Linked DNA regions of Callithrix jacchus. The protein of the gene in region 1 purifies or fractionates together with the protein of each later gene. This does not show direct contact. Links are inferred from orthologs where the notes say so. Each region holds a gene or a part of one and is shown on either strand. Other genes may lie near its edges. The genes, in order: TSSK6 and FKBP5.

What was found.
Region 2: the proteins of TSSK6 (region 1) and FKBP5 purify together in Homo sapiens (affinity purification with mass spectrometry; 4 studies listed by BioGRID and IntAct, with this or other methods). This does not show direct contact. The link is inferred for Callithrix jacchus from reciprocal best matches to the Homo sapiens genes TSSK6 and FKBP5.

What each region holds. Positions count from the first base shown.
Region 1 is NC_133523.1:18,189,160-18,192,691, forward strand, and holds TSSK6 (testis-specific serine/threonine-protein kinase 6), read right to left. Parts: upstream 2,013-3,532; 5' UTR 1,892-2,012; coding exon 1,070-1,891; 3' UTR 678-1,069; downstream 1-677. Other genes in the region: NDUFA13 (NADH dehydrogenase [ubiquinone] 1 alpha subcomplex subunit 13), read left to right, coding at 2,707-2,800. UniProt on the Homo sapiens protein: Serine/threonine-protein kinase component of the sperm flagellar doublet microtubules. May act as a regulator of sperm motility by mediating phosphorylation of sperm doublet microtubule proteins.
Region 2 is NC_133505.1:44,021,994-44,026,485, forward strand, and holds the start of FKBP5 (peptidyl-prolyl cis-trans isomerase FKBP5), read right to left. Parts: upstream 2,953-4,492; 5' UTR 2,683-2,952; intron 1-2,682. UniProt on the Homo sapiens protein: Immunophilin protein with PPIase and co-chaperone activities. Component of unligated steroid receptors heterocomplexes through interaction with heat-shock protein 90 (HSP90).

The DNA.
Region 1 (3,532 bases):
TTGAACCCAGGAGGTGGAGACTGCAATGCTCCACGACTGCCCCACTGCACTCCAGCTTGGGCAACAGAGAGAGACCCTGTATCAAACAAAACAAAACAAAATGACCCAGTGCGGTGGCTCACACCTGTAATCCCAGCACTTTGGGAGGCCGAGGTGGGTAGATCACCGGAGGTCGGGAGTTCGAGACCAGCCTAACCAACATGGAGAAACCTGTCTTTACTAAAAATACAAAATTAGCTGGGCGTGGTGGCGCATGCCTGTAATCCCAGCTACTCGGGAGGCTGAGGCAGGAGAATCGCTTGAACCCGGGGGGTGGAGGCTGCAAGTGAGCCGAGATTGTGCCGCTGCACTCCAGCTTGGGGCAACAAGAGAAAAACTGTCTCTCAAAAAAAAAAAAAAAAAAAAAAAAAAAAGATGTGGATGGGTGGCGGAGGGGTCTACTTGCTCCCCAGCCCAGCGTCACAGAACCATCATGACCCGGAGACAACAAAGGTCCTTCGATTTTTGCCCAAAAGGTCCAGGTTCGAATCCTCCCGACTCCCTTTTGGGTCTTGGAGCAAGAACCTCAACATGCCTGACTAAAATTAGGAGACCCGCGCCCGGCGCCCGCCTTCCCCGGACGGAGCAACCCCTTCCCCACTGGTCCGTAAATGGGGTGCCACCATTAGAGTCAGGTGCAAGGAACAGCGAGTTTATTGCAGGTTCCAATCGGGAACCGAGTACCCTCAGCTGGTTGGGGAAGGGACCCCCTCCGCTCAGAACCTGAGCTCGTTCCGCGCAGACGCAACGCTTCTGTCCCCTCTGGTCTCGTCCCTCACGGGGCCCGGTGGCTAGGAATTACGGAGGCGCATGCGCCTCCAGCTCTCCGGTTCGTGGAGGACTTGGAGTCCGAACCCGGGCAACTGCAGCCTGCGTGGCGGGTGGGAGGGAGGGGAGGGGAGGGAAGGGGAAGCGAGAAGGCTCATGCGCAGTAACGCGCGGCAGCTTGGGTTCCCTCAAGCGCGCCTGTCGTGCGTCCGCTGCGCTGGCTCAGTATCCTCGGCTGCAGGAATTGCGGGAACCTGGGCTTCTAGCCCGAGTCCCCGGCGCGTAGCCAGCAGTTGCGCGCTACCTGGCCTGCCGAGGGCCTGGCGGACGGGCTGAACTGCAGCAGCTCGGCGATCAGGGCCTTGCAGCGCTCGGAGAGCTCCAGGCCTTCGGGGTAGAGCACGCCGCGCTTCTGGCGCCGGGGCAGACCGGCGATGTCCGAGTCGTCGAAGGGCATGCACCCGGTGACCATGACGTAGAGCACGACGCCCATGCTCCACACGTCGTATTTCTTGGGGTCGTAGGGGATACCCAGGAGCACCTCCGGTGACGCGTAGGCGGCGGAGCCGCAGTAGGTGGTGCTCAGGTCTGGGTAACCGTGAGCTTGGCGGCCAAAGCCGAAGTCTGTGAGCTTGACGCGGCGCTCGTCCGGGCTCAGCAGCACGTTTTCGCACTTGAGGTCGCGGTGCACCAGGTGGTGATCGTGCAGGTAGCGCACGGCGCCGGCGATCTGCGTGAAGAGGTCACGAGCCTGCACTCCGGGGATGTGCCCGTTGCGCTGCACGGCCTGCAGTAGGTCGGTGGCGGCAGCTTCCATCACAATGTACAGCTTCCCGTTGCATACCTCAATGAACTCGAAGACGTGCACGATGTGAGGGTGCCGCACGCCCCGCAGGATGGACAGCTCTCGCGGCAGGAACTTGTTGACGAAGTCCGGGGGCGCCCGCCGCCGGTCCACCACCTTGATGGCCACGGTACCCTTGTACTTCTTGGACGTGGCCACCTTCACCTTGGAGTAGCTGCCCTCTCCAATTGTGCGGCCCAGCTTATAACCGAGTTCGCTCAGGAGTTTGTCACCCGACATGGTGGCGCCTGGGGCGCACGCGGAGCAGGAGGCGGCTGCTGTTGGGGGGCGGCCGGACTCCAATCTCGGGTCTAACCCATGGCGCTTGGCACCTGCATCCCCGCACCCCCATGTGCCCACTGCCGCTCCTTGGCCGCTGTTACGCCTTTTATTGCCCCGTAACAATTTTTGCCTTGTGAAGTGGCCTCGGGCGTCACTCCGCCTTGGGGTCCGGGACCCCGCCCTGGGGCCACCCTAGCCTCCCTGCTTTGTGACTCATAATTACCCTGAATGGTCAGTTTCCGATGAGAGGCCACTAGCGAGGGATACCCACCACCACCAGGGAGCAGAATCCGCTCCTGGGATTGGGTTGAGTCCGAAATCGAGCAGCAGCTGTTCCCCAACATCATGTACCCAGCCCGTGACTACGTCGAGCCCTGGGCTTCCGGTAGAGTCCCTAGCGAGGGCTAAAACGGGAAAAGGGGCCTTAACTGGGGCACCTGGCTCTAGGGAGCTCCGAGTTTCTGACTGGCCTACACAACACCCCAGAAGCAAAGTGAACGCGAGGGCCTTTAATGCAAGAACCAGGGGGTCCTAGCGACTGAGACACGCCCGGTCTGGGGGAAAGAAGGAATAATGACTCCTCAGCTGCAGCCTAGCTGCGCATTCGGACCCAGGGTCAGCAGTCAGAGCTCTCAGGCGCGGTCGAGTAGTTACACTAGTCCCCGCGGCTTCCCAGCGCTGCGGAAGATGATCTCAAATGATTCCGCCACACTCATCATGGCGGTGGCACATGTCACTTCCGCCCGGAGCCGGAAGTGCGGGATCCAGTGAGTATGGCGGCGTCGAAGGTGAAGCAGGACATGCCCCCGGCGGGGGGCTATGGGCCCATCGACTACAAACGGAACTTGCCGCGTCGAGGACTGTCAGGTCAGTATCTCTCTGCGTCGGGGTCTCAGAGTCTGGGCACTCGGGACTCAGGGGCGGGGTTCCGGGGACACAAGCGGGCCGCAGTTTCCCCGGCGGTGTGACCGGAGGCGGAGTCCGGAGATCCCCCATAGCTTCTATAATAATAACAGTAACTGCTGCAGTTTGTTGAGCGCTTTCCCAGCTCCGCCTCCTTCTCGTAACAGCCCAGGAGATTGGTCCCTTTGATTATTTACATTTTACCGTAGGTTAAACTGAGGCATAGCCTGCGCCCTGGCCCTCGGCCACCCTTGGGTTTCTCAGATGCGGAAACTGAGGCCCAAAAGAGGCCGCGACTCCCCAAGGCAAGGCTAAGGCCGCAACCTGGAACCTGGGGGTAATTTACAAGAAGTTCGATGCGGTGGTTCCCTGCAGGCAGCCCCGCGCCTGCAAAGTGTCCCAGCAATCCTTATTCTTAAACTTTTCAAATGTTTTAGGTAGCATGTTAAATTTTGTTATCGGGCTCAACACAGAAGAATGAAAAAGAGAACTTAAAAGGTGCCCATACTCAGTCCCCAGGTTTAACAGACAAATACAAACCTTTAAACATAATTTAAGGGTGAATACATACGTTACTTTTTTTTTTTTTTTTTTTTTTTTTGAGACAGGGTATCGTTCTGTTGCCCGGGCTAGAGTGATCTCGGCAACCTCCGCCCCTTGGGCTCAAGCCATCCTCCCACCTCAGCCTCCTGAGTA
Region 2 (4,492 bases), on another chromosome or scaffold:
GCTGTGGGCAGGTAGGTAGGAGTGGGTTTGGATATGGTTGTGGGAGCAGGAGCCACGTGTCTGTTGTGAGGGAGGATTTCTGCCGGGGTGTTTGTGAATGATGACTGGATGACTGAGGTGGGGCAGCCATGCTTCTGGCTGAGGCCCCGCCTTCTCATCCTTCCTGGGGTCACCTCCCAGGGCAGCCACCTTGGCCAGAAGTGCCCAGGTTTGATGCTCTGGCCTGGGCTGGCATGGCCAGCAGAAAGCACAATGTCTTCAAGGCCCAGTGGAAGGACGACATCAGTCTCTGAAAGCTAAGGGGGCATGTGGAAGTGTAGGGTGGGACTAAGAAATCCCTTCAATTCCTCCAACAGTGGCTGACAAAACAGACCCCATATCCAAGGAAAGCTGTGCCCTAGGATGGGAGGATTGCAAAATGGAGGAGGCTCTGTCTGTTCTGGTAGTGGGGACCTGGGTGACACCACTCTCCAGATGCCCAAGGACTGCGGGGCCTCTGGGGACAGCATTTGAATTAGGTCATAAATGATTAGGAGAATGTCAGAGGAAGGAAGTAGGAGGGGAAAGGGGGCATTCTAGGCGGCAGAAACAACCCGAGCAAAGGCACAGAGGCGGGAAAATGGAGGGTGTGCTCCAGAAGCTGCCTCCTGCATGTTCATGGAATAAAGCTGAGGCCCAGAGAGAGGAAGTGTTTCTAAGACCTAGCAGTAGCCTTGAGGTCCTCTCACTCCAGGTCAGTGCTTTTTGTTACCCTAGAAAGCTTACAGGAGAGCACACCAGGGAGTCAGCTGTTGGTTTGGTTTCCTTTGCTTTCTTATCCCCAGCTAAGTCTCAATCAGGGATCGATCCTTGTTCTTGGCCTTCCTCTGCCAGCAGCTAGCTGTGTGATTCTAATAAGTCACTTCCCCTCTCTGGGCCCCTCATCTCCAATATGAAGGAGGTATAAGGCCTTGCTTCTACCTAGAAATGCCAACTCTGACTCTCTAAGCTAAAATGTGGCTTATTCTCCTATGCCCAGCACCCGGCAGAATCTATAGCACTACACGGGTGCTCAAATAACTGTTTTTGAATGAAGAAAGGAAGGAAAGAATGAAAAGCATCATGACTCTTCCTTAGCACTCTGCTTTGACAGCCTCAGCCTCTCCCCGCCCCAGGCAGGACAAAGGATGCAGGAGTCCCAGACCTTGAAAAGGAAGTCAAGGAAAACAAATAACTTAACTACATGGGGGCCCTAAACTCTGCCTCTGGGTGGATGCCCCTGAGAGAACCTTTCCTTGCAGCCTTGGCCTTGCTGAAACTGTGCAGTGGTCAGGGCCTGGAGGAGGGGCAGGGACCTCTAGCAGACCCAGAGGCAGCTAGGCCTGAGCCAAGACTGGCCCTCCCCTTGCTCCCTCCCCACTCACAGCTTCTCTGCTTCAAGAAGTGTCCCAAGCCTTCTGGTCCCAACCCTGAGGGGTTGGGCTGGCTCTGAAACCTCCTGTTTCCCAGGCCAATGATACCTTCATTTTTCCAGTTGCAATAACCCCTTTTTTTGAGGCCCCCTCCTTTCATGTTAAGAACTTTATTGCTCATTTCCCTCTTCCGTGACAGCAGCTGTATTTCTTTAACTTTGTGAAACACACACACGATCTATGGTGGTAGAAGTCGGAATCAGTTGCCTCTGGGGCGGAGACTGACTGGAAGGGGACACAAAGGCATTTGGAGGTAGTGAAAATGTCTGAAATCTTGATCTAGGTGATGGTTACATAGGCATATATATTTGTCAAAATTCATCAAGCTGTACACTTAAGATTTATGCATTTTACTGTATGTGGAATGTATGTTGATTATACCTCATAAAGTACTGCTAGCATCTAAAAGATACACATATGGAAAAGTACATGAAACATACATGTTCAGTTTAATGAATTATTTAGCCAGCGCCTGTGAAACACCACCCACGATACCTGGTGCCCCTGTGTAATCCACAGAGCTTGGATATAACCAAGCAGTTTCCCAGGGACCCCAGCACCCACAGACAGGGCACCTCAACTCCAGACACCATGTGCCTCTCGCTTCCCGGATTCATGGAAACATAGAGGCCAAGGATGGGGCAGAGCCCATGGGCTTTGGAACCTAGAATTTCCCATCAGTTCAACACCAGGCTTGACCACGATTCCCATTCTAGTGAATTGAAGGAACAGAAAACACACCATTTCCCCTTTCTGGGAGGGGAGTTTCCGTACTGGCCTCCTCCAGTGAGTCTTGGCTGGGGGGTGGGGGTTGTCCCTAGTTAAAGTCAAGGAGAACTGTGCCTTCCCTGCATCCCTGCTAAAAATAACTCCAGGCAGTGTTGCTGCCACTGAGCAGCAGGAAGGACAGAGTCGTGTTTTGCTTTAAACCTAGAAGCAGCTCGGCAATTGGGGGCTAGGGTGGGGTGGGAGAGCAGGCTAGGGATCTGAGAACCCTGGCTGTGCTCAGTGCACCCCCCCCCACCCCCAGCTGCAGCTGGTCTTCCGGGGGTGCCTGGGAGGGGTGTATGTGTTAGCGCATGCACGCGCATGTGTGGTGACAGGGCCTCCCAGTAGCAGAGCAGGAAACCAGGGAAGGCTGGGAATGTGTGGGGAGGGGTCTCTGTCCTGCTAACTGGAGCATGCAGCTGGAGGGCCAGGCGTCACGTCACGTACTCCATGGGGTCCCTACCTCCTCTGAGAAGCGTTCTGTTCCTGCAGCCCACGCCAGGCTCCCTGGGGTTGGAGAGGCTAGTCTTCTGCAGCGTGGCCGCCTGCCCCTCAGGGCTCCTTGCACACACGGGGCTGGAGATGGTTGCTTGGTAGTCCTTGTCTCTGTCTGGCTTCTGCTCTGCCCAAAGATATTGGGAGGTCCTCAGGGGTGGGTGCAGTCCGGCAGCGAGGAATTTCCCTGGAAACGGGAAGTACAAGATGTGTCAATATGGGATCCTAGCAGAGGAGTGAGAGGCTGAGTAAAGGGAAGGGAAGAGGCCCTCCTGGCTGCTCAGTCTTGCTCTCTCCTCCCACCACTCCCCTGCCTGTCTTATGCATCAGAGGCCTCCAATTGTTGGTCTCTCTTTCTGTATGCTTGTCTTGGGTCCCCGGCTCCTTGGAGCCAGGATCATCCTGCAGTTGGCCTCCATTTTCCAAGGTAACAATAAAGAAGAATCACCATTCATTTCACAGGTACCCCGTTCCAGGCACTGTGCTGACTCTGATGTGGATGTTCTCATTTAATCCTCCCAGCAAACCTGTGATAGTGGAATGATTACAATTCCTCCCTATTTATAAAGGAGGAAACTGAGGCTTAAAGTGGTGAAGTGCTAGTCTAGGATCTCACTGGCAGTACCTGACAAAGACAAGGCTTGAAGTCATGATATAGAACACAGAGCATGTCCAAGATGACTGTCCAGGAGACAATAAGAATTTTAGGGCCAGGCATGCTGGCTCCTTCCTGTAATCCCAGCACTTTGGGAGGCCGAGGCGGGTGGATCACCTGAGGTCAGGAGTTCGAGACCAGCATAGCCAACATGTTGAAACCCTGTCTCTACTAAAAATACAAAAATTAGCCAGGTGTGGTGGCAGGCACCTGTACTCTCAGCTACTTGGGAGGCTGAGGCAGGAAAATTGCTTGAACCCAGAAGGTGGAGGTTGCAGTGAGCCGAAATCATGCCACTGTACTCTAGCCTGGGCAACAGAGCAAGACTCTATCAAAAACAGAAAAAAAAAAAAAAAAGAATTTTAGAAATTTGATATCTGGGCCAGGCACGGTGGCTCATGCCTGTAATCCCAGCACTTTGGGAGGCTGAGGTGGGCAGATTCCCCTGAGGTCAGGAGTTGGAGACCAGCTTGACTAACATGGCAAAACCCTGTCCCTACTAAAAATACAAAAATTAGCTGGGCGTGGTGGTAGGTGCCTGTAATCCCAACTACTCGGGAGGCTGTGACAGGAGAATCGCTTAAACCCAGGAGGCGTAGGAGGAAGCAGTGAGCTGAGATCGCACCATTGCACTCCGGCCTCGGTGACAGAGCGAGACTTGGTCTCAAAAAAAAAGTAAAAAGAAATTTGACCATCCTAGATAATTTAGGACACATGGTTGCTGAACTTGATGATTTTGTTTAAAAAAACACACGTATATATACATACAAACACCAAAATAACCCCAAAATAGTGGCTTTACATTCAAAATTTGTACTCCCAGTTGTGATTTTGACCAAGAAACTAACCATCCTGACAAGTCTCAATTTCCATCTCTAAAAAATGGGTACAATAATCCTTGCCGAGGATTACTGGAGAGTAGTGTATTTGAACCCAGCCTTTTTTCTAAACCTAGAAAACACAAAGCTCCTTCATGCCTTGAGGCCTTTGCATGTGCTGTGCTGTTTCCTGTGCCTGAAACCCTCAGCTTCCAGATGTTCACGTGACTGGTTTATTCTCGTCCTCCAGGTCTTAGCTCAAACATAACCTTCCTCCGAGCAGCCTTCCCTGACTACCCAACAGA